Linked DNA regions of Drosophila melanogaster. The protein of the gene in region 1 purifies or fractionates together with the protein of each later gene. This does not show direct contact. Each region holds a gene or a part of one and is shown on either strand. Other genes may lie near its edges.

Region 1 (7,202 bases):
AAGTCAAAATATATACATACATATATACCTATACGAGAAATATATATCTATACATTTGATAGTGTTGTGAACTAGAGGAACCCACACTGAACACTCCGCCGGCGGCAATGCGTAATCCACTTTTGTAGATAGCCTTTAGGCCGACCTTTAGGCCAAGTGACAAACGCAAGGAAGTTACAATCTTCCACCCAGAGTCAATTGAGATGGCCAAGGAGCAGACACACTGACTACCTGACATGAACCACCTACACAGTACAGAAAACCTGGTGCCGAAGCCGAGATGGGCACTAGAACAGCCGGCGTCGTGATAACACGCAAGCTTTAACTTTCACTTGTTGTTAGATTCCGGATGGTCAGAGATAAAAAGATAGTTAACACGCGGAAGCCACGTAGCGATTTCTTCTTAGCCACGAGTTCTTGCAAAACGATATACATATGTGAATGTAAATGTGTACTACGTGTATAAAAGTATTCAATAAACTATATTAAATAATCAGTGTACAATTGGCGTTAGTTCTTTTTACGGGGGTTTACACATATATATTTAGCGAGTCATCCTAAATTAAATGTACATAAGTAAAAAGTTATGTCGATATAGACGAACACGAACGTGTCCCACTCCAAGATGGAAACGAAAAATTTGAATTGGAAACATAAAACAAAATTAATACCAATGCGAACACGATTAAAATAGCAAATTGAGTAACTTAAAAAGAGAAAACTGTTAACAACCCGCCCGTTTGTGGTCATTGTCCGTGCTGCTGACAAAATTGCAATGGGTCAGCGGGTCAGTGGGTGGTTCCCCAGGCGCGCAGCAGTGTCAGTGCCTTGTTAAGGTAGGCGCACCACTCCTCGCGCTCCTCCTTTGTGTCGGCTGAGAGCAGATGGCGCACCGTGGTGGTACGTCCGTTGGGTACGATTATCAAGGACTCTTGGTCTGTCTCCAGCGCCGGCCGTTCGCACTCCAGCAGCATGGTGTTGAGACGGGCGCAAATGTCGCGCGGTGCCGTGGTCACCTTCTGCGAAGTGCAGGAATTCAGATCTATACTACCCATTGGCGTCTTGCGCTTCTCATCATCCGGGTACTTCCAGTAGTTGATCACGGAGCCATTCAGATAGCACCAACGACGATGCCATGCCCCGAAACCGGAGATGTCTTCGAACATGGTAAGGAATCCCTTGTACTCCACGCTTACGGATAGTTCGCAATTGACTTTCATGTGAACCACACCCTCCAGTGGACTGACGCCCAGCACCTGGGTCAGCGTCCATGTGGTGCGTTGAATTTCACGCAGCGAGAAAATGGCAAAGCCGTATTGCACCAGCTGCGGTGTCCGTACCACATGCGGTCCCGCCGGACTTTGTACTGGCGGCATCACCAGTCGATTCTCGCCGCCCTTCTTCTTTGGCGTCTTGATGCCACCCTTCTTGTTCAAGTTGATGTGGTATTTCAGCTCGTGAGGCAGCTGATCGCGTTGGGCCAACATGCCATAGATTTCTAGCGTGATCTGCAGACGAAGTTTTCGCAATAAAATCGAATATTGGCTAAAGAAGCAAAAAGCAATATTTACCCTGAAGTCAGCATATACATTGTTTAGTTGCAGGACATCGGGAAACTTGACAGACAGCAGCCCTGGCATCGTGGGTACTGTCTTGGTGGCCAGCACGTGCTCATTGTACTTCAGGAGGCACACAAGATGATGGCCGTTAATGTTGTTCGAGGCCATTTTACGCACGTACTCCTGTCGCAGTGGAATGGTTATGTCCTTGACCGTCAGTAGGCCCTTTTCTTTTGGTGCACCCACCGGACGAATACTGTTCTCAACTCTTAAACGCTGGACTTCATCCAAACACGCCTGGCGTCGATGGGCTGCAAGGATATTAAAGAGATGTTCAGCTTAATTGGACATTCAAATTGCCAATTCGGTTTGGAATTCAACGAACAGGCAATTTATACTTGAATACACTGAAGATCACACTTACTTGCAAGAAGGAGATATCGCTCTCCCTCCACGGACTCTGTGGAGCCGGAGAATTCTACGGTGGCAGCACAAAGGTTGAGGGCCTGACTGGCTTGTCCTATCACCTGCTGCTGCTTGCACACCTCGCTCAACAGCTTTTTGATCTTGTCTTGTGCCTGCGATGCATCGTTTACTTCCCGCGCATTCTGCATCTCTTCATCGTCCTCGTCGGTCTGATCAGCTATGTCAGTTGCTGCTGCGACATAATCAGACTGCTGAGGAGAGTCGTACTCCAGTCTGTGCTTGGCATGACAATCGCCTGCTAGGGCTGATCGCATGACCTGCTGCTCTCGACAGATCTTGCGAACCGGTGTGGAATTGGAGCTCTATAAACAACGAGTACTTAGAATTTGTTAGTTGTGATATATAAGTAATCAACTCACGTTAGCGCTCTGTTGGCGGCGATAGAAGCTGACCGTGTGCACCAGGGTAACCAGGTTGTCGTTGTCCTGGTTGACACTCAATTCAGACTTGACCGGCTGGGCACCACTGAGCAGTGGCGTCTGCAGGTCCATCTCCATCTCATGGTGCTCTTCGATAGGCGTGCAAATAGAGGCAGGATTTTTTCGGAAGGAAAAGCTGTTTGAGGCCGTCGTTCCTTTGCTCTGAAAATGTAATTAAAGAATTGTTTTGATATACGAGGAAACTTAATCAGCAAGTACTCACGCCCAAGGACAGCCGACTGGCATTTTGCTCGTCCCCGCTGTCGCTCTGGTCATCCTGAGTGCTGCCGTAGTCCTCGACAAGTGCTTCATCCAGATAATCATCGATGCCCGCTGAGACCTGCGACGAGTTCAGAGAGCTGTCATCGTAATACATGTCCTGGTCCGCATAGCGCACAGTCTGGAAAGGTGTGAAATCGTGTTAATGGTGACCACCCGCTGTGTTGACAGTTTTTACCTGCACTTACCTTCTTGCCCGTCTGCTGCTGCTGCATCTCCACTTCGTTGCGCTGCACTGCGCTCATTATCTCGCGGCCAAGACTGCCATTGCACATGCCGGCGCTACTGTCCTCAGTCTGTGACTGGTCGTCGGACTCATCCATGCAACTGCACGAATCAAAGATAAACGGTTAGTTAAGAAAGCGATTTTATTGTTGGTCTTGTCTAGGGGATGGGGTTTAAAGCTATGTCTCTTAGGCCTATCAGTCTTGGAATGCTACTCGATGCAGAGCAGAAATAGCAAGCAGGAATAGCATTTTTCAGCGCACCTTTCGGTTTCCTCCTCGTCCTGTTGATGGCTGTCATCCGTAGCGGAGGCAGTTTCGGCGGCGCAGCAGTTGTCACCGCTGGAGTCGAGGTCGGACAGGGCGGGATACAGACGATCCGAATGCGATTTGCGGGCTCGCTTCGAATCCTCGTCAGTGGTGGGCGCATCACCAGCTGAAATTGCGGATGTATAAGGACAAGTCCTTAGATAAAGGGTTTAGTCATTTCTTACGTGATCGCCTCTTGCTGCTGGCCAGTCCGGGCGAGAGAGCAGCGATGGGCGGTGGTGGAGGCGGTGGCATGGGCCGCACTACTCTGCTGGGAGCTGGCGCGGGAGGTCGAGCTTGAGCAGCCACAGAACTATCGGATGGTTGATTGTCAAAGAGCTCCTTTTGTTTGTTAAAGCGATTAGAAATAATCTGCATGTCTTCCTGCCTTTGGCGATCAATGTCCTTGATACGCGTCTCTGCACTTGATTGCGCATTTGCCACCAAAGCGGCCACCTTGTCACGCAGCTTGTTTTCCTGTTTCGGCTTGGTTGCTGCAACCACGGTAGTAGCTGCGGCAGCAGTCACCGGATGCATTGCAGCTAAATGTTCTGTTAACAAAAAAAAAATGAGTATGAGTAGCTATTATGAATATAGAAGGGCTGCCAAACTCACGTTTCACCTCTTCCGCTCGGATTTGGGTAATACTGGGAGCAGATCCTATTGGCGCCATCGGCAACATCGCTTTGTTGTTGCCCGTTTCGAACAGCTTCATCCGCTCCTTCAGCGACAGCTCACAAGGATCCTTCTGGTTGCGTAGGCCTTGCGACTGTCCTCCGGTTCCCTTGTTTTCAAAGAGAGCCGCCCGTCCGGAAACCAAGCCGGACTTCACACTAACAGCAGGCGCTGGTGCGGGCTTAGGCGCTGGGGCGGAAGATGCAAAGTTCTTGGCGACCTGGCTGACCGTCGTTGATTTCTGCGGCACTGGCGGCTTGGCAGTTAATACCGCATCTTCCACTTTGGAGGCTGGGGCCGCCTCTTCCTGTTTGGCATAATCATATGTGTGTTTAATGGTCGATGATTCGCGGCGCTGAAAACCTTGTGCCTCCAGAGAGCTCAATACCTTGGGATCCCACTTCAGCTGCTTGGTCCTGCTTGCCTCGTCGACTTCATCCTTCTTGGGTGGCAGTGGAGCTGGACCCTTCTCGGCCCTTCGACTGGACAAATGCGGTTTCGGTGGAGGTGCTTCGAGCAGTCTGTGCACTTCGTGGTGCGACGTGTCATCCTCCCACTGATTGATGGTATCCGCCAAGGCGGCCAGTTTGCCCAACCGTTGTTTTGGTTGCCTGCTGCTACGGTTGCCGCAGTCCTCTTCCTCACCCGTTGTCACATGGAACTGCCCCTCGGTTCGGTGGATTGGGGAGGATAGATCGTCCGTGTTTGAGTACAGGGCACCCATGCGTTGCAGTCGGCTGCGGGAAGTGTCCCTTAGCCTGGCTAGGGGCTGGTTTACTGGTTCCGCCTCCAGCAGGGGATTTAGCGCACCTCCTTCCGCCTGCTCTTCGTCATCTGTCACCTCCTGCTCCTGAATCTCAACTTGCACCTGAAGGTAGTGCAGCAAGGATGAGCAAAAGGGAAGAACCCAGAAAAGAACGGGAAAACTTACCCCAATTGGCTTGTCCGTGGTTATGTTTATCTCTATGCCCATATCCAAGTTTTCCTTGTTTACCGCCGTATAGTGACGCAGCGGCTTCGCCGGCGACGCCTCCAGCGTGGCCTTTCCCAACGTAACGACCTTGCCGCCGCCGCTAGCCGCGCTCTGGCCTCCAGGCGACCGGCTCCTCGGTGCCAGGACCCCAGCATCCCCGCCGGATGCGGAGGTGGCGGAGGAGCTTGGAACGCTGCACTCGACGAGCGGAAATTTGCTGGCATTGCTGATGCCAAGGGCGCGACTGCGCTGTTCCGCCTTCTCGAGCATGTGCTGCAAGGGAAAATGGGAAATAGCAGTGAAAATCCGCGGGTGCCTTCACTAACACCAGTGCAATCACCAGACAAAGGGCTTTGCTGTGTGCGAATTGGCCTCGTACCTGAGTAAACGGGTCCATTGTTGTTGCTGCAGCTGCAAATGCAAATGCGAGTTGTGATTGCGCGCACTATGCTATTGAATTCACTGTACTGCTCGACACTCCACGTTGGCGATATTTGATGTTTGTTTTTCACTGGCGGGTTGCGCGTCCGTTTGCATTCGAAATTCTGCGCGTCGCTTCTGCTCGTTTCGGCGGTTGGCTTTTCAGATGTGTTGAATAATTTCAAAACGACGCGCAAATGCCATAGGACCCTCAACTGACCACGACGAAATACCGAAATTGGGGAGAAAATGCCAGTGGTGAGTTGCCAAGGGCTGCCACTTTGTCGTATTTGGCAGGGTGGCAGCTCTGTCGCACATCAATGGTTAAACCGGTTCACCAATCACACATATTTACCGGTTTAATTTCGGCCGACAGCTGTTTATTTTTCTTAAAGCGTTATCAAAAAGGGTTTTTATTGATGTTATAATATGAATATCCAACCGTAATTTACCACGTATCACTTTCAATATTTATCACGCATAGCTGGTAAGTTAAGAACCTGGAATTAGGCTTGAAATGCACCTTTGATTTCTCTGGTGAGCTGCACACGTTGTGCCGTCAGTGCTGTATGTTTTGGCTAGAATTTTGGCATGTTTCCTCTATTTAGGCTACCTCTTTAAGTTTGGCTTTTCTGTTGGGGTTTCGTTAATTAATGTAGGAAAACATTTCTGGAAATAATTACGCTTAAATATATAGAATTTGTTTTTTCAGTAAATTGTCAGCGTCCGCCATGAGTGACCAAAAAACAGTAAATTTGCTGTGGAACTGTGCCTCCAAGCTGACCGACCAAACCCACACAGAACGGATCCTCAAATCCTATTACATGTGAGATCCGTTGTCAATTCCTTAAGCACCCACTAAAATTTCGTTTCCAAAACAACCCAGAACCACCTGTAGGAAGCTGGCCCGGCACAATGTCCAGTTGCCCGAGGAGAGCTTTGGACCCGCACGCATGTGCTCCCGCTGCGGGAACCAGTGGACAGGTGGCCGCTACCAGCTCCACCTCCAGCCACAAGAACTGATGCAGAGTGCTAAGAACCGGAGACTGATCACCAAGCTGGAAGCCGTGAAGGGCAAGATGGCAAAGGGCGAGATGAACAGCGGGGCCAGGAAACGGGCCAAGTGGCTCAAGAAGCGTATGGCCAGTAACATGGTGAGAACCAGGAGCTAATAGAATGTCTAGAATATGTCTAGATTGTGGGAAAAAATACTTTTATTTCTTTAATTTCATAAATATAAATATAATATCTCTTTGCTTCCATGGATGAATGGTATAGATGGATAGTTTAGTACCTTATAAGCGCAATATAAATTTATGTATCAAGCTTCTGGGCAAATAATAATTTAAATTAACACCAAGGAAGCTGAAAGATCTTTATACAGTGTTTTGTGTGTGTACATATGGACCCATTCCTGCCACTCTAACCACAACCCAATTCATTTTGCAGGCCGTGGACTGCGATGTTTGCCATCACAAGACAATGTTGGCTCTGGAGAAGAGCCGAAAGCGCGCCAAAGTAAAAGCCACGGAGGAGACAATGGTAGTCACACAACCTGCGCCAGCGGGCCAAAACAAAAAGAAGGCCAAAACGAAGAAGTCTCAGGCGCCGAATAAAGATATCAATGCAGGCCTGAAAATGCAGCAAAAAGCGCCTCAGCGACAGCAGCAGCCTTCGAAATCGCCAGCTCCATCCAAAAACGCGTCCCAACCAGTCGGCATAGCTTCCCAAAACCCAAGTCAGACATCGAAGAAGAAAAAGAAGAAGCCTGCCCAGCCAGCGCCCACCGCACCAAAAACGCAGTCCAAAACCCAGAAGCAGAACGTACTGCTGCAAATAGCTGCCCAGCTGAAGTCGA
Region 2 (6,732 bases), on another chromosome or scaffold:
ACATGCCACTATTATACACACATACTATATAAAACATGTTTACTACTCCACGACTCAAATTTGCAAATATTGTACGCTATTTAGCCTAGCAGTTAGAGCAGCATACCCATAATATATTTATATGAAACAAATCGCCCAGCAGGACACATAAATTGTGGTATGTATGTGCGTGAGTGTATTTTTGTATGTACTACCTATTAAATATAGAAATATATATATATATATATGTGCGGAGAACCGTGTTCCTGAACACCGATCAAAAGGAATTAGGCATTTTTGTTTGTCCTGGACTGGCCGTGGATGATCCTGCGGACCGCCAAGGAATAGAGATGTGCCAATTTCTGGTCCACCAAGCACAGTTGATAACCTATAAGCATCCTTACAACGTCACCACAACAGACTGGGACAAATTGCTGGTCGTAGCGTCTACTTCTATACGTTAATCTATATCTATATGTTAAACTGTAATTTTGGATCCGTGTCAACCAGTCGTTTAGTTCCATAGTCAAGTCATTACCGGGTCCGTTAGACAAGGATTTATGCAGATACTCTCAACTAATCTAGAATCTAGACAAAGGCGACGAAGCAGATCAAAAGAGTTTTGCTACCACTACCAAGTGCTGTACACGCCAAAAACGAAAGGCTTCAGTTTAGCTATAGACACAAATATATATATATATATATATATTATATAAAGAGATGTATTTACATATTTTTGGCATTATAGATACATACACAATGTGGAAAATTGCAAAACAATAATATGGGTGGAGAGGTAAAGGGAAAGTAATTCTTAGAAAGGCAGATTTTTTCATACAGGAAACGGTGAAAATCAAACTTTTCAACATAAGAATTAAACATATATATATATATGGGAAAAACAAAAACTATAAAACATTTACTAAAAGTGAAAACAATAAATGAAAAATGAGTTATACACCCTTAAAACAATATATATGTGCAAATTGTAAATGGAGCATGTAATTTTGTAAAAATTATAAATAAAAGTTTATCAAGTCGAGAACTTTTGAACTTAAGTTAAAATTGGAGACAATTTACAGAGCTGACGGCCTATTTAAATACAAACTAAATACAATTATAGAAACTAGATCAAAATCCGGATGGATAAAGATGTCATTTGGCCACTTATTGCATACACTCATTTCACTGGAACTTTTCTGTAAGTCCTCGGGTCTTCATTGCCATTTCCGACAAATGTTGTTGCAATAACCTCTTGTTGACCTTTTCCCTGTGAAAAAATTTATAAAATTAATACAATCTTTAAGGATCTATATATAAGTAACGCCTCTCACTTGATTATTAGAGCAGTGTAGCGCGTTTTATCCGCGTCGGTTATGAGCTGTGTGGGGAAATTGGGAGTGGACATTAGGGACTTCATCCAGACGGCCATCTCGGCGGCATATTTTCTGTTCATGGCAAGAAGGATGTCTGCAAACTTATCCACCTGCGACCGCGGCGTTAGGTAGCCCACGCACATCATCGCCGTGTACAGCGTCTGCTCGCCGGTGGCCAGGACAACTTCTGTGACATGAGCATGGTTACGCGACTGCATCACAAAGTGGGTAAGAAACTGTATGCTATTTCGGATGGCACCACTCTCCGGCAAAGTCATTCCACGCTGGGCGTAAAAGACCAGACGATCGTAGGCCAGTGTCTTGTCCTCCAAAACTTGAGGGATTTTCTTAATGATCTGCGTCAGACAGCCGAAGAAGGTTTCCATGGTGTCCGAAATGTTGGAGAAGTTCTGCTCGGGAGTGCTCTCAAATAGCTTAAAGCTGTGTTGGATGAACTCCCTCAGAAGTTGCTGCATCAGCGGCTTGCAGCCTTCGTCCTTAAAGAACATAACAATGGCCTGAAACAAAGGATTCTATTAGATCACTCAGTCATTTGCAATATATTGGTAAGGCTCACCGTTTTGGATATTTCTAGAGTAGGAGCGCAGCATCGGGTCTGAAAGCTGGCAACAATGAAGAGACAAAGATCCTGCAGCATTGGCTGGAAGCTGCTCCTTAAATTCGTTATCGCATGCTTCATCGCACTGCAAGCGGCCTATATGAATACGATAACATTTTATTAAAAATATGCAAAATTTTGTGTTTATTGCCTTACCTCTAGGACATCGATCTCCTCCACCCACATCTCGGCGATTCTCTTGAAGATGGGCATCGTGCGCTGCATGACGAGCAGAACTGGCTGCACAATCGGTTGGTCCGTCGCCTGCTCGTCCACATCCGTGTTTAGCGAGGAGAAGAGAGTGGAGATCATATTGAGCCGGAAGATTGTGCGAATTCGAGCAGCGGGAGTTTTCTAGTGCAACAAAAGAAATGGTTAGCAACTGATCTCTTTATATATTTTATATTTATATTTACTCACCGAATCTGCCTGGCAAATGGCCTGTAGCTCCTCGAAGCAGGGACTGACGATAATATCCAAGTATTTGGGTATTTCCTCTGGCCGCAGCAGGCTCATTAGCTTACCGATGCTGAACATAAGCCTCACCGAATCGGAGTTCTTCATGCGGCCCGTGTTTAGGGAAGCGTGGCATGCGTTTAGGAGCGGATCCGCATACGGCTTCAGCTGCAGCTGACAATCGCGACACAGCTCCTTCAGGCCGAGCGTCGCCTGTGCTGACATTGAGGAGTTGAGGCCGCGCACCAGTAGGTTAATGGCTGGCGGAATGTACGCCGGATTCTCCATCAGCCAATTGCAATAGGAGCCCATTGTCTCTAGCGCAGTGCCCAGTAGCTTGACATTGAGCTTCTCGTAGGGAATCTCGGCCAGCACGCGCATCAGCCGTGGTATTTGCCGCTTCTCCTCGCCACCAAAGTGCTCGGCCACCGACTGAAAGGAATAGATGCACGCCTCCAGCTTTGTCCAGTGTGTGGGATGTCTTTGCAGATCGGCAATGGCCTCGTCCAACATGGCAGCCAGAATCTCCAAGATATAGTCATTCAACACATCATAGCAATACATCTAAAATAAATAAAATAAATGCTATATTATGCCTGTTTGTTAATAGTTGAAAACGGTAGCCAATCCTTTCGATTTGGAGACACTCCAACTGTTGCAACCACTCACAAAGGTATCGGATATATCCTGTCTGTAGCACCTAAAGCATTCCAAATCATCGGAGCTCCACTTGGCGAGCGACTTTTCGTCTGGCTGCTCTGACTTTCTTACTAAAATCCTGGTTAGATGGGCGTACAATGGTTTGATGTACTCCCAGCACTTGTGTTTCTGCTCATCGTTAGACATGGCGAACACTTCGTCTTGCAGCATATACCAAAACGCCAAGGCCATTGTGCTGCAGGACTCCTCCACCGGGTAAATGCCCGGCTTGTCCGTGCAGTGGAGAATCTCCTGCACGATGCGATGCACTAGGATAGACAATTCCGGATCCGCGGACGTGATGCCGCTGAGCAACAGCGTCGAATGTCGCTCCACCGAAGAGACGAACAGCATGTAGATATGTACGATAATGTCCTCGTTGTCGTTCTCCCTCTTCCATTCCGTCTTTGTGATTTCGGATAGCGAGTCCAGGAACATTTTTATAAGCACAAATGCCGTCTTTGGATAGTTGTGGCAGTCTGGCTGGATGATAATGTTCACCATGGTCTTCAGACAGGACTCGGCCAGTTCGTTCTCATCGGCGGTCATGCAGCCGTCGCCGGCGTGTATGCAGGGCCAATAGCACTTGTGCACCACTTCCAGGAGCACGGCGGTGATGGTGACGCAGCCCTCAATGGTGTAGCCGATGTTTCTGTCCAAGTTGGAAACTCACTTAGAACGTGTAAAGAATAATTTTGTAAATTGAATACTCACTTGATCCAGGTGCCGACGCACTTAACGGCCCTGTTCATGTTACTGTACGCCTCGGCATCCCACACGCGGTTCATTTGCAGCTTCAGATATCGCTCAACGGTGTGAATGACCAACTGCACTCGCTTGGCGATCTCGGCGCGCAGAACAACCCGCTTGACAGACGTATGTATGACCTGCGCTTCCTCGGGAATGGCGGTCAGCACCTCCAGCATGATCCACAATTGCACATCGGCGCTGACATTTGGCATCCGTTGATTCTGAAACGTGTTGATCACCTCCTCGATGGCGCCGGGCCATTCGCCCAGCATGTGAACGATGTAAGCGCCCAGCGAGATGCACAACCGATTGAGGACGATCTTCGGTCCGCCAGCGAAGCGAACGATGGATTCGAGTATCTTTTGCTTTAACTCCTCGCGATTCTCTGGCGGCACTTCGTGCCAGTGCTTCATAAGCTTGGAGTGCAGCGTGATGGCGCCGAAGAACTGCACCTCCTGACTCTGTGTGGGCGGTGGGGTGATTGGGTGGGCGGTAGGTGCATGAGTATACATATCCGGGTAATTGATGCATTGATGCGCAGGTCCTGCGTGGTACTCACCTTGCCGAGCTGCATTAGCTGCCAGGAAAACTGCCAGGCCTGTGGACTGGCCTCCGCATCGGTAAGCCATTCATGGGTGATCGCCTGGTTCTGCGAGTTCGAGCGGTAGAACGACACGACCGCCTCCTCCAGACGCGCAATGTCAATGGGCTCCATGTGGAATGGCTGCTGCTGCTGCTAATGCTGCTGCTGCCGAGAGGCAGTCTCCTGTCCGCTAATCCTCGGGTGGTGGTTTTCTTTGCTTCTGCCTGTGGGCACTGGATTCGCGAGTGTGACCAACGCGCGAAGTCACCAATTCGCGGACGGGCCGAGTGTGCGGTCACTCCATTTTCGACTTTGCCGCGCTTTTTTTCCTCCTGTATTTTTTATAAAAAGTGTTGAAATGTACGTATTTAATAATAAATAAATATGTAATATAGTATAAATTGCTTGTGGCCTATATGCTCGATATATGCAGGAAAAATTCAATTTATAACAACATTTATTCATTCGTACACTTCATAAAATTTTACTATTTCTATTTAGTAAATACTCTCTGCAATTGAGGAGTATCTTAACAAGTTAACAGTGAATTTGGAAAGCCCAAAAAGTCCTATATAAAATCGAATTTAAGTTGCCAGAAACAGTATCGCAATTTGGAACACCGGTCGGCGATGAAATCCCTGCTATCCTCATCGATATACACCTCAATAAGGACGTTGTCGCAGAATTGAGCGACCTGCCTCTCCACGTCTTGGCAGTCCAAAGTGGAGCGATTAACGACGGCCCATCTGTCGGTATTCAAGCCCGGGTTCTGTGACTCCAGTAATGCGAAGATCACACAGAGCGACTTATTCGGACTGACCAAGGGCAGGACAAAGGTCGTCCTCACTAGATCGAAGAACTTAATGAAGGGCTGGCAGGAGTGGGGCGGCTCCACACCTTCGACTGCTTCGATGACCCATTGGGCCGTTTCGTTATCCTCGCAGACCACCAGCATGTTGCAGTCGAATGTCTGCGTTGAGGCACACTCACTAAAATTGAGATCGCTGACGCTCGATCCACTGTCCTCGAATATTGAATGAAAGTGCTCCATTAGGGCGATAGTGTCCACACCATCCGAGCACGAACTCTGGTTAGTTATCACCAAGGCGTAACGTCGGTTCTCGGGCATTGTGTTCGCATACGGCGGCCGAGTATCCCTCTTGCGACAATTCTTTGGCGTGCAGCAGTCCTTCTTCCTCTCCTTGCACTCCTCGGCCTGCTCCACTGAGCAGCTTGTGCGGCTGGTCTCCGTCTTGCAGCAGTTCATCAGGTGGATCTTCGAACCAAATATGGAAGCCATGCTGCCGGCTCGTTTGTCCGCGAGCAGATTCTGCTGCGGAACCACCTTGACCACGCTGTTCTCTTGGTTGCTTCGTATTCTGTGAATGAATCAGTTGGGTATCCCTATCATTTACATATATAGTTATTACACACAACACACACCTTTTGGCAGCCGATTCCTCATCGGAGGCGCACACTCTCGTCTTTCGCGCTACGGAGCTGGCGCTCGTGCTTGCGGATTCGAAGCTGGCGTTCGTCTGGTTCGACGCACTGGATGCGGAGGAATCTTGCGAGTTCGAAGCCTCGCAAAACTGCGGAAGCCTGTCCACTGGCAGAAGCATAGAGCTCTTCGGCATGTTAAGGAAATCCAGTTGGCTCTTGCCCTCTGGAATTGTATAGAATTGGAGAAATCCTACAAAGGAATTTTCGTGGTACAGCGAAAAGGCTGTACCATTAAGCGTTGTCGACGGATAAGTATAATCGCTTTTATCCGGAATTCTGAGCAAATTTGTAATAAACTCATCGTTTTCCAGAGACTTGTGAAAACTCTGTACGTTTAGGCGAGCCAAGGGAAGACCTACTTTTACCTCCAGTTTTTGCTTCAATTCACCAATGGTCGCATTATTGTGGAGCTCGAACATTTCCGGCATCTGTATGGGATTGAGAAATGAAAATATGTATTTATTAAATTTAAGCTTCAATTATTATAGCTCCATTTATAAGCCACAATTGTAAAATATGTGCGGGCTTAAGATAACTGCATACCACACTTGTGTTTCCCTCGGCATCTAATTTCACTTTGACGAACATTTTATGTAAGAGAAGATATTAAAACTTGAATTAACAATTGGTAATATACAAAATAAGTGTGTCTCTCAAAATAGAATATTCAAGATGTTGATGCGCTTTTTTATTGGAGAATCTTTAGAACCGTTATGCCAAAGCTTTCGTTTTACAGTATGCTTGGCACTTTACGACACTGAATGCTT
Region 3 (7,494 bases), on another chromosome or scaffold:
ACGCAGCGGGTTAGTATCGCATCTCTGCAGACGGTGCACGAGTGCAGGTCTCGTATTTTGGGCGATATTTACGCTGAGTTTTCAAGATTATGTAAAAGTGCTGGAGCAAGAAAAAGACAGCAAGGTAGCAGTGTGACCGTATGCGCAATGTACTAAGCTGTTTCTCAACTTACGCAAATAAATACTAAAAATACTTAATACTTGAATAATGAGTAAGTAACTTTCCCAACTATAATTTACAGTTAAATAATTGTTAGTGGTATATTAATTCACATGAATTTCAGTAGTAACGTTAGCTGAAATCTTCTTTTGTGAGTTGGGCACGACTTTAACGAGATTTTTAAAGTCTGGAGCACCGAACTGACGTTTCAAAGCAAAGTTATCGACTGCTGCTTTTGCCAATCGAGTGGGCGGTTCTTTTTGAAAGAAACGATATAAGAGACTAGAAAAATTGCCACGTTTCCTCTTTGAAAAACCACAAGTTAGTGATAAGAACCCAATTCATATACAAATTGTAATATATTTATATGTATTTTTAAACAATATACATTTAGTTGGAACATTAGTCATATAAAATCCGAATACACAACTCTCAGGTGCTGCAGTAACAAAAATACATAGTTACACTATAAATTACACGAATATAACAAAACAAGGTCGTTTGATTTAAAGCCACTTTTCTGAAGAAAGTCATAGTAAATTCCTTATTGCGTTCCAATCTGAAAAGAAATATTTGGTGTGTGAGGTCAGCACGATAATGGGCGTTTCCTCATGAGGAGCTGGAGCTCGCACTACTTACGATAACTAGATGGCCCTTATCACGAACCACTCCGGGCTCGGCGCCGGTTTGGATGTCGATGACGCCGCCCTTGCCCTTGACTACGTTGTGCTCCAACCTGGAAACGAATGCAACACTTAGTCAAGAGAAAACCACTGGGATAACCGATGTGCAACTTACGAATTTCTGTCCACAATGGAGACGATGGAGGCAGTTCCCACGGTGTCAATGATATACGTGCTGAACTCGATTATGCGCGGAATGATCAGAATCAAGTCGCCCTTGTCCTTTTTCAGGTCGAGCGGTATGCGGATGACCATCAGGTCGTCGTTGTGGTTCGTCAGCGTGAAGTCGATCTTGTCTAGCGGCAGGCGGTGCTTCTGCTTGTAGGTCTTGCCGTCGAGGACATATATAGCCTTGTTGCTCAGCAGGATAAAGCGGTCGCGGGACTTGTAGCCGTGCCGATCGAACTTGGTGCAGAAGGACTGGTACTTAAGCTGCTCGCTGCCGAAGGTGCTGGCCACGAAGTCGTTGACTCGCTGGATGTGCTCCTTGGGGATGCGGTCCTCCTGGAACCAAGTGGACACACTGCTCGCGTAGTTGTTCTTCTTGCCCTTAAAGACCTTCTCCGCCAGGACCTTCAGCTCGAATTGCCTCTTCTGCTGCGGCGTCAGTTTAAGGCGGTAGATCCTGGCCAAGTGGAGACGGTGCAGGCGGTGAAGGATGCCGGAGGCCTCCTCGCAGTGCCCAGGGGCATGGGGCCAGCTCTTATCCAGTACCTTGGTGGGCAGCTCCTTCGCCAGTCGAAGCAGCCACATACGCTTGGCGTTGGCAATAAACTCTTCATTGAAGCCATTCGGGGCATCGTTCCGGGTGATGAAGCCCTTGATAAAGGCACGAATCTTATCGGCGGCCTCCCTGCGCTTCTTGGCCGCCTGCTGTGCCAACTTTCGGCGACAATAGCTCTGCATTATGATCACCTGAGCACGCAGTTTCAGATACTTCCTCCTTTGCATCAATCCCTTCCAGTGGGCCTGGATGATGGCCGCTATCTCATGTTTCTTCTCCTGGTAGGCATCCTCCGTATCGAACAAGGTTCTCGGCCAGCGGATGAATAGTTTCGTCTCGCCCACCCTGTACTTTTCCTCGTCCCAGCCCAAATCTTTCACCAGCTGCTGGACACCCGCTTTCGGGCCACCGGGACCCTTGTAATTGGGCCAGGTGGACTTGCTCAGGGACTTGTAGCGCTCCAGGAAGAGCTCATACGTTCGTCGGTAGGCGAAACCAGCTCGCCTCACACGCAGATTCTCCATCAGGCCAAGGTACTTGACCTGGTGCAGTACCAACTCATCGTTGAAGACGTTGGCAGTCTGCAGGTCGTTTGGCTTGATGCAGCGAATGTAGCTCGGCTCCTTGCACATCAGAATGTCCATGAGGTTGTTAAGAGATGCCCGGAACTGGGTGATAGCCGTCTCCGGACGCTTCAGGCTGCGCAGCTCCTTCTCCGGGAAGCAGTTCCTCACAATGCCGTTGCCAGCCTTGCTGAGGGTCTCCTTTAGATCCCTGAACAACAGGTCGTTGTTCTTGTCCAGGAATCCATTGACACTGTAGGTGACCTCGCCGGCATAGTGCACCAAGCGGAACTCATCGCGCAGCATGATTTTCTTGATGTGGGCGGGCGCCTTTTCGTGGCAAACGTAGTGGTGGTGCTGGGCCAATTTCTGGGTGAGCTTCTCAAGGAAGGTCTTATCCGTGGGCTCTCCTGGTCGCAAGCACTCCTCGTCCAGTATGGAGATGATGCCCTTGTGCTTCTCCTCGATCAGATTGCAAATCACCTTGTTGTCGAAGTACTCCACAGGTATCCACTCGATGCCCTCCCGGCGGTATTCATCCTGCTCCGACTTAAGGGTAAGCTCGATGAACAGCTGCTGCAGCTTCTCGTTGCAGAAATTGATGCAGAACTGCTCAAAGCTGTTCTTCTGGAAGATCTCGAAGCCATAGATGTCCAGAATGCCCATCACATTATTTCTGGATGCCCGCGTTTCCTTCGCCTGCAGCGAGATGTTGAGGCGCTGAACCAGCCAGGAGAACAGACGATCATAGACAGCCTTGGCCAAGGCGTCCCTGGCATAGATGGCGAGCTCCTGGTTCAGTGGTGAGGTCACCACATCTCCCCGAGCGTCAATTGTGCGGTGCGTTAGGGCGGCTTCCAGTTCGCTTGCGTTTACACCCAGCAAACGAGCAGCGGTGACTACCAGATCCCTGCTGTTCACCTTGGCATTGCCCTCCACCTCAGTGAAGCCAACGTTTCCTAGATGCAGAATGCTGGCCACGATTCCGAAGATCTCGCGCTGCTCCTCCTTGGTGAAATCGATCACAGTGAGAGCCTGCTGGACCTGCTTGAAGCTGTCCGCATCGTTAATTCTCGTCACGGTGCCATTGAGCTGTGGATTAGAACTCGAAGATCAGAGACCAATTGTCAATACCCTCCAGGCTGCCCACTTACCCCATCTGTCAGGTAGCTATAAGTGTCCAGAGCCCGCTCCAGGCGCAGTTCCTGCAGAAGGGCCTCGTCGGCGCCGGCCAAGAGTTGGTAGAAGATGTGGAAGTTGCGCTCGCCTCCCATTTGAGCCACCACTCGCGACTTTTCCAGCAGATAGTTTAGGATGTTGCCTCCGATCGGAGCTCCTTTGAAATCGAACTGGATGTCCATGTACTTGCCGAACCGCGAGGAGTTGTCATTGCGGTTTGTCTTGGCATTGCCGAAGGCCTCCAGCACGGGATTGCTCTTTAGCAGCTTGTCCTTGACGCCCTCGACGGTCGTCTGGTTGCCGGAGCAGGCGGCTATGAACTGCAGCACCTTCTTGGAGGCCTCTGTCTTGCCGGAACCACTCTCTCCGGAGATGAGCACGCACTGGCCGCGGTTCTCCTCGATCAGCGAACGGAAGGCGTTGTCAGTCACCGCAAAGCTGGACAGGAATGCTCATTATTTGGTGGTTCAATGCAACTTGGTCTTGAGACTCACATGTGTGGGGGCATCTCGTAGAAGTGCTTGTTTCTGTACGCCTTGACATGGTCATCGGTGTAGATGGGCAGCTGCTTGTAGGGATTCACGGAGATCAACACCTGGCCAATGTAGGTCTGCGAAAGGGGATATCGTTATCATTATTTTGACCTATCTTCTTTAACTATTTTTACTCACATAGATCAGGTCCTCCTGGAACCGCTTCTTCAGATTCCCGATGAAGGCTTCTTCGCTCTGGTAGTTCTCGAGGAGCACAAAGTCCTGGACTCCAGCACGATCACGCTCGTGCAGGCCCGTCTCCATTTTCAGTTGGGAATTAAAACTAAAGCAAAGAAAGGGGTTCACATAAGCATCAAAATGATTCCTTAAATACAGATCCCACAGAAACGATTGGTGCTTGCTTCATTGTTAATTTTTCAACTTCCTAAGAAAATCCTCTTCATAGGTCTTATCTTTGACGAACCTAATCGGACTGCCCAGCTGAAAGGGTTGCCATGTTTAACCACCTTGATTAGGAAAAACCTCTTGAAAACCAATTCAGAAAAGCCCCATAGAAAGCCGAAACCCCAAAGATAAGATTTTCGCTATTCGACAATATTTTATAACAGTCCTGCGGAAATGAATCAGGCAAATGATAGTGACTCGTGAATGTGGATATTGTTGATCAATTCCAAATGATCTCATCAGACATATCCAATATAATATTCTATATGAGTCCCAATGCAAATACCCAATCTGGGGTATTTATAGATCCATAGAAGTAATGGTGGGCAGGTGCAATTCACCTTATCAATGCCATATTTCATGGGGCCAAGGGAAGTGGGCAAGTGGTAAGAGTTTGCTTTATTGGACGACTGCTCCAGTTCTGCTGATACGCGGCGGGTAAAACCATAAAAGAAACGATTATGCAATGGATTTGTGACTGGTAGGATTTCTAAGATTCCTAAGAAATGCTGGTCATATAACTGTGGGATTATCCAAGGACACTTCACTAGGTCACTGAGTAAACAATTGCACATCTCTAGATGGATTCTCTTCAAATCACGCTTCTTCTACCTGGCCATGTTTGTTCGATTCTTCTTGTTCCACAACACTACTGCACAAACACCACTGATAGCTCCAATTGATGATTCTCTGGAGGATGTGTCAGATTCCGCGCATATTCCGCCCTTTGACGGCTCCGTTGGCAAACTAAACCGATCCGCTGGCAGTTGAGGCGTTTTAACCATCAATACTTCTCCTCTCCACATATCAATTGGCCTCGTCGGAATTTGTGTTGTTCTTTTTTTTTAGTCGGCACATTTATCAACGATAATATACCTATGACTGCGATGAGGAGGGCAATGCCGCCAATCAGTCCCCGATTAGATAGTGCCTTTCGCGAATAAACTCGGGACCCGATTTAGGAGACCATGACAGAAACGCAGCGCACCAAAGAATTCCGGATCGGCTGTATTCCGGAGTTCCAAGTACCTGAGATCACGATACGTCTTTTTCGCATGCGTCAATCCTAAAGATATATGCGTTCCCATCTCCCATCATTCCGAGCAACCCAATGTTTTCAGTTGATTCATAATGTGGTTCCTCCTAGCTACGCGAACCAGTTTCTTGGTTTTTAGATAACTAATCAAGAATTATTCTATATGATTTATAATCTATTCACTTTCTTTATCTTAGCACTGCTTACTCTATGTAGTCCTTAGTATCCATTATTGCGAAGATCAAGGATTTGATTTCAATGTACATAAGGAATTCCTTTACTTAGTTCTTGCTCCACAATTAGCTAATTTCATAAACTTGCTTCTCCAAAATGTAAATTATAACTTAATGCTTTCAAGATTTCTAGATGACTGCCGCGCTTTCGGGACATTTCTGAGTGAGTCAGAGCTCGAAACTCACAACCCCGACTCAGAAAAGTGCTCCAGCTCACATTAGCACTGTGTTATCAGCTATCAGTGTGCTAAATAATAAGTCATTGCCGAATGAAAACATTGTAAGTACACACACTAGATTGCAATTGCCTCCACCGCCACTATTGTGTGTTTCCATCCACTCTGCGCCACTTGGAAGGGGATTTGCTGTGTGGAACTGGAACGAATGCCTGACTAATTGCGAAATGTTTGCCGGGAAGACTTCCCAGGAATTCTCGAAGAGACCGGCAGACACGTCCCAGTCGTTGGAGCCGAGCTCGCCGTGATTCGATGTTTGTCACATAATTGTTTAATTGCACGTAGGGCAGATGGAAGTGGATATCGATCATGTCGAAAACCATATACGAATACATCACCCAATGGGCACAGCCATTTGCAGTCATTCTGCAATCACTTTAGCACTTTTGACAAACCAACCATCGCCTAAGATTATGCTACGTCTATTTAAGGAATCCACAAGTTGGAGGGCAGGTGAGTGCAGATCTCATGGAACTGTTTGGGATCCAATTGACACGAGTATATGTTGTATGATAAGAGAGTTGCCAAAGTTGACTGGGTGGCGGGGCAAGCCTCTACAGATACTTTCATGATTAGATAAACTAGCTGGGGGATATAAAATGAATTAAACTGTAAATATTAATGAGTGTGTAGTCATTATAATTATACTTTGCTCAATATCCCTGCAATAACACGGTTTCTCCCTACTATGAAGTCATTGACTTTCTGTTCCCTGGGGGCGTTGCTTTTGTCGGCTTGATCCACTCTTTCTTTAATCCCCATTCAGCGGTCTAATAGAGTGGGGAACTGGTTTCCCGATCCAGAAATACTCCAACGGGTGATGTAACAGAGAACTCCACATTTTGTTGTATCAGACGACTCGTAAACATGTCTACGACACACGACCTATAACGGAACCCAAAAACCATGAGTCCCACCCAAACGAAAAAGTTCCTAACCCATTAATCGCACACCGAAAGAAATAGTCGAGCATTAAGAATAGGAAACCAAGAGGCAGAGGCTGATTTGCTTTGTAGCGAGATGGAGAAATACATTCGTAAAAAGTAAAGATAAGTTCTAAAGACGGAAACTCAACGATAATACAATAAGTTCAAGGGCACATATTTCCAAAAAATTTGTTGCCAACTCAAGAGCTTTGCTGAATATTTTTTTGTTCAGTGGCATGACCAACCTTCATCTGCATTCAAATGTCGTCATATATCAAGCAGCAATATCGCGGGATATTGAACTCTTCGAATTCATTTGGAAAAATGCAGGGCTGGCAGAACGATCATGGAAGTGGAATGAGAAGTGGAAAGATCCCACAAAGCCCCTACAAGCATTTATATCATATGCAAATTAATGAGCGCAGTTATTAGAACGGTGCTTGATCGATCCGAGATCGAGATCGAGTTCGAGCTGGAGCTGGAGCTGGGGATGGAGATGGAGATGGACACAGAAGAAAGAAAGGCATCCCAAATTTGGGCCACTGCATGGGTTATTCTAATGAGGAAACCGGGAACGAGATCCCACACATCTCATCACAGATGCACCGCGTATAAAAGGGCAATGCAACTGGAGTGGTCAGGTTATTCCGAGAGAGATCATGGATCGGAGAGTGACTGCGATTGGTTTGGGTGAGTACGGACGATCGGCTGCCTAGAAAGAGTGACACATCCTTTTCAGTTATCCTGCAGCTGCTGGTCAGCGGCCTCTGTTTCCAGGAGAAGGCGCCACTGCAGACGAGCCTGGTCAGCGGACAG
Region 4 (3,826 bases), 370 kb from region 1:
TGCCATCGCTACACACAGAATGACTAACCATTGCGTTCCGATCCGCGCTGCTGGCATATTTATAATTTTGTTTCCCATTTTTCCACTTGGCGTGCCAGAGAACGAGCGAGAGGCGGCGAGAACAGCGGAGAGCTAGCTATTGCTATCGCTATCAGCCGGGTCCACATCCACAGAAGAAGCGGCCAGCGGAAAGGGCTGAAAAACCTGAAGTTCGTTTACAGCTGTTTCGACTAATCCAGGGTTTCCAAGCGATCAAATTTCGAAGAGACATATGCGTTATGACCGTCATAAAACAGTTCCGCGAAAAGTATCCCATTTAATTCATATTTAGTCTGGTAATTACGATATTTAGGGCTGGATTATAGAGAACGCTGTCCAAACATAACCTTCATTATGTACATACATACATACATATGTAAACGTTCTATATTTTGGTATTTTTAAATTACTGAAAAATGTATACTCTTTTTCATATGCTAGACATATTCGCATTCAATATTGTTTTTTATATTTTTATTGTATTTAATTATACAACTAAAATTACTGGAACTCGTAACCTAAATTAAAATTCTTTCAATATAATTTATTTATAAACTGTTTAATTGGAAATCATAGATCGTTAAAATAAAAAGAAATAAAATATCAAAATTAGTATACTTCTTGGTATAGGAGTGGAGTCATAGGTAAGGTTTGTAGAAATTTAATCGCATAGGCAGTTTTAGTAAAATCGAAAACATTCTAAACTTAACTACTTTTTCTTGCCCCTGCCCAAGGTGAGAGTGTGCGAACCATTGGCCATCTGGAGCCTACGACGCTGTAGCTCCTGGCAATCCTCTTCCAGCTGCCGACGGGCCTCTTCCAGTTGGGCCTTTTCCTCCAAATGCTCCCGTTTTAGCCGGTCGAACTTAGTATGCAATTCCTTCTCGTTGTCCTTCAGCTCGTTCTCCTTCTGCTTGACCCGCTGAACGAACATTTGGCGCACTTCCTCCTCCTTGGCCTGTAGGCAAGCCAGATGGTCGGATCGCTTCGACTCGAAGGTCTGTTGGAAGGAGACCGGCTGGTTGTTGCTGTCCACGTCCACAAAGCCCATTTGTTGTAGGCGCCGCTGGCGGAAGAGCTCATAGTGGCGTGTGTGAGTCTGTTCGCGCAGATCCTCCATGTTAGTGCGAATGAGCATCTCGCGCAGCTTCACAAAGTCGCAGTGCGCCTCGTTTTCTATGTGCACCGCTCCCCATGGATATTGGCGGGCACGAACCTGCTTTCCGGCCACCTTTACAAACTCCGTACTGCCAACAACGGCAAAGGGTAGATGGCCGTTCATCGCAGCATTTGTTTCGGACACGGTTTCGTCGTCCATGGGAAACTGGTATATGCTCACATTGTTCCGCCGTAGTTCGTCCATTATGCGTTCCTTAAACCCCGACAGCTCCGACTTGGAGATGGTGTCGGCCTTCGCGATCACGGGAATGATGTTCACCCTAGTGTCAAGCTGCTTCATGCACACCAAATCCATAGCTTTCAGACCATGGCCCGTGGGACAGATGAAGTACAGGCAGGCGTGAACGCGTCCATCATGAGCACTGGCCATCGCTCGCTGGATCTTGAGCTCTTCCTGCAAATACGCTTCAAACTGGCTGTCCACGTACTCCACCAAAGCCTTGTAGCTGTCCGCTTTATTAACCTGATCTCCGTATCCGATCGTGTCACAGACGGTCAGCTTCAGGCGGACGTTGCTCTCCTGCAGCTCGTATGTATTTGCCTTCAGCTTCACATTGGGCAGGTTGTGCGGGCTCGGTGTAGATCCAAAACTGGTATTGAACAGTGTGTCCATGAGAGTGGATTTCCCGAGAGCGGTCTCGCCGATGCATAGGATATTGAAGCTAAAGCCATTCTGGACGCTCTTGTTGACCAGCTGGTCCGGTAGGGTGTCGAACCCCACGTGGCCGCCGAGTTGAAGGAGCCTGGGGACTTTGGTTGCCACCTCCTGCGTCTTCTTTTCAGTCACTAAATGAACCATTTCGCCAGTGCTTTCGTTAGAATAATGTCACGACCCAGCGCAGGCGCCACTCTTTATACCCGGAATTCTCGTATGTGCAGCCTGTGTAAACCCTAGTCGTTTTTCTTAATAAGCCATTTGGATTTTCCTGCATCTGGTGGCGTACCGAGAATTAAACTGTATCTAAGAGTTTTCTACCTGTGATTCCTTTTACCTGCAGCCTTGACGATTTTAAATGCGGTGCCCGCCTCAGTTGTCTATCGAGACAGTTCTGCGCGACTATATCGATTAAAGCAGCTTCAACTAACATTTATCAATTGCAGTTAAACAACGATGGATTATTCGATCAAAATGAATTTTATTTATCAGAAAGATAGTCTTGCGACAGTACATTTTATATATGATTTCTGGACTATGACGCCACGGCTGGCTCGAATGAAGTCCCATCTGGACGTATTATATTCGATGACTTTTTCCAACATTTGTGGTCATATATCGGCAATAACACGGCAAATGTTAAGTCGGTCGCGATTTTGAACAGTAATGCCAACTTAAAGTTCTCCACCTCATAAAAAAATCCTTTACAAAACGTATATCGCGTTGTCTTAATCTCGCGTGTTTTAAAGATTTATGATCTTAAAACTTAAAAACTTTTATTGTTATATCTAAGTTCGCCGAAATATATTACAGAAATAGAAACCTATTAAAAACTACATTGAAATTATATATGATTATAACTATGTCATTATATAAAAATGAATCAAACGTTTGGCTATAAAATGGACAAATATGGCTCGATACCATGAACGGGACCATCAATGGCGATAGCAAACACGTATCGTTATCGAATACCGCAGTTAACTTTCGACGCATACAGAATTTGCAAAGCCGGAGGAAATTGAAGAATTTGTGGAATATCCGCGACTTAATAGTAAACTAGCACTTAAAAATAAACATCCAAAAAAGCCGGAAGTGGTAAGAACTCTAAAAACGATCTGAATTGCTCTGATTTTAGAATTTTTCCGCCTAACGCGATTTTCTTTGTTTGCGGGGCGCCGCCATTTTCTTTTTACCTGACCGCCGCTTGTCTTCTTGCATTTCGCCCGTACTTTCACAAAGCAAATCTCGAATTCTTCGCAGAATCCCCGGAACTAAATTGCCAGAAAGTTCTCAGGCAGCACACACCGAGTTAAAGCGCCCCGGAATAGCCGCCCATGAGTAGTCATCGAGACGGAGCCGGAGCCGATCGTATCACAATCAAAATTCACAACATGAAGCGTAGCGCCTCGCGCTCCCCGGGCCCGGCCTCCAGGAGCAGTTTGTCGCGCAACTCGCGAAGCATGGGTCGTGGGTACGACAACGGCAGCGGCGTGCCTGGCGATTCGCCGGAGCGCCTGTCGCCGGAGCGCATGCGACGTCGATTGGACCGCTCGCCGAGTCGTTATGGCTCCCCGCACCGGGAGCCCTACATGCGTGGTCCACCGCCTGCAGAGCGACCAGCTGGCTACAAGGTACTTTGCGTCAGTGCCCTGCCGCCAAAGGCTCCGGACGATTTTATCGAGGAGACACTGTACCGCGAGTACAAGAAGTTTGGCGATTTTAGCGTGCGACTGGCGCACGACTTGGATGAACGGGTTGCTTACGTTTGCTTCCGAACGCCTGAAGATGCACGCGAGGCGAAGCACCATAAGCCGCGCCTGATCATCTACGACAAGATGGCCATTGTGGAGCCGGTGTACAAGTCCACAACCAGACCGGAATATAGGTGGGATTTATTTTTGTATTTATTTTGTTAGCCTTGGCTAATCTAAGATGCTTTGCAGACCACGC

What was found.
Region 2: the proteins of scra (region 1) and cdm purify together in Drosophila melanogaster (affinity purification with western blotting, with the first as the bait; one study listed by BioGRID). This does not show direct contact.
Region 3: the proteins of scra (region 1) and Myo61F purify together in Drosophila melanogaster (affinity purification with mass spectrometry, with the first as the bait; one large-scale study listed by BioGRID). This does not show direct contact.
Region 4: the proteins of scra (region 1) and Septin5 purify together in Drosophila melanogaster (affinity purification with mass spectrometry, with the first as the bait; one large-scale study listed by BioGRID). This does not show direct contact.

The regions. Positions count from the first base shown.
Region 1 is NT_033778.4:7,588,563-7,595,764, reverse strand, and holds scra (scraps), read right to left. Parts: upstream 5,647-7,202; 5' UTR 5,322-5,646; coding exon 5,304-5,321; intron 5,198-5,303; coding exon 4,883-5,197; intron 4,820-4,882; coding exon 3,892-4,819; intron 3,828-3,891; coding exon 3,462-3,827; intron 3,404-3,461; coding exon 3,232-3,403; coding exon of another isoform or gene 3,180-3,231; exon of another isoform or gene 3,096-3,179; intron 3,071-3,095; coding exon 2,932-3,070; intron 2,865-2,931; coding exon 2,688-2,864; intron 2,627-2,687; coding exon 2,405-2,626; intron 2,348-2,404; coding exon 1,984-2,347; intron 1,871-1,983; coding exon 1,572-1,870; intron 1,509-1,571; coding exon 789-1,508; 3' UTR 523-788; downstream 1-522. Other genes in the region: CG1360 (uncharacterized protein), read left to right, coding at 6,076-6,170, 6,231-6,498, 6,794-7,202. UniProt on the Drosophila melanogaster protein: Required for cytokinesis. Essential for the structural integrity of the cleavage furrow and for completion of cleavage furrow ingression and proper formation of the midbody.
Region 2 is NT_033777.3:18,178,753-18,185,484, forward strand, and holds cdm (cadmus), read right to left. Parts: upstream 4,728-6,732; 5' UTR 4,595-4,727; coding exon 4,439-4,594; intron 4,341-4,438; coding exon 3,844-4,340; intron 3,782-3,843; coding exon 3,100-3,781; intron 2,995-3,099; coding exon 2,395-2,994; intron 2,329-2,394; coding exon 2,131-2,328; intron 2,071-2,130; coding exon 1,933-2,070; intron 1,874-1,932; coding exon 1,314-1,873; intron 1,298-1,313; exon of another isoform or gene 1,250-1,297; coding exon 1,165-1,249; 3' UTR 523-1,164; downstream 1-522. Other genes in the region: CG7208 (uncharacterized protein), read right to left, coding at 5,031-5,841, 5,906-6,393.
Region 3 is NT_037436.4:1,322,626-1,330,119, reverse strand, and holds Myo61F (myosin 61F), read right to left. Parts: upstream 5,558-7,494; 5' UTR 5,550-5,557; coding exon 5,491-5,549; intron 5,004-5,490; exon of another isoform or gene 4,868-5,003; coding exon of another isoform or gene 4,860-4,867; intron 4,126-4,859; coding exon 3,981-4,125; intron 3,920-3,980; coding exon 3,804-3,919; intron 3,748-3,803; coding exon 3,285-3,747; intron 3,223-3,284; coding exon 959-3,222; intron 897-958; coding exon 800-896; intron 720-799; coding exon 705-719; 3' UTR 503-704; downstream 1-502. Other genes in the region: CG9184 (uncharacterized protein), read left to right, coding at 7,338-7,368, 7,418-7,494. UniProt on the Drosophila melanogaster protein: Unconventional myosin that functions as actin-based motor protein with ATPase activity. Binds to membranes enriched in phosphatidylinositol 4-5-bisphosphate, and can glide along actin filaments when anchored to a lipid bilayer.
Region 4 is NT_033778.4:7,959,633-7,963,458, forward strand, and holds Septin5 (septin 5), read right to left. Parts: upstream 2,290-3,826; 5' UTR 2,211-2,289; exon of another isoform or gene 2,151-2,210; 5' UTR 2,018-2,150; coding exon 749-2,017; 3' UTR 501-748; downstream 1-500. Other genes in the region: CG2915 (uncharacterized protein), read right to left, coding at 1-78; nito (spenito), read left to right, coding at 3,211-3,761, 3,820-3,826.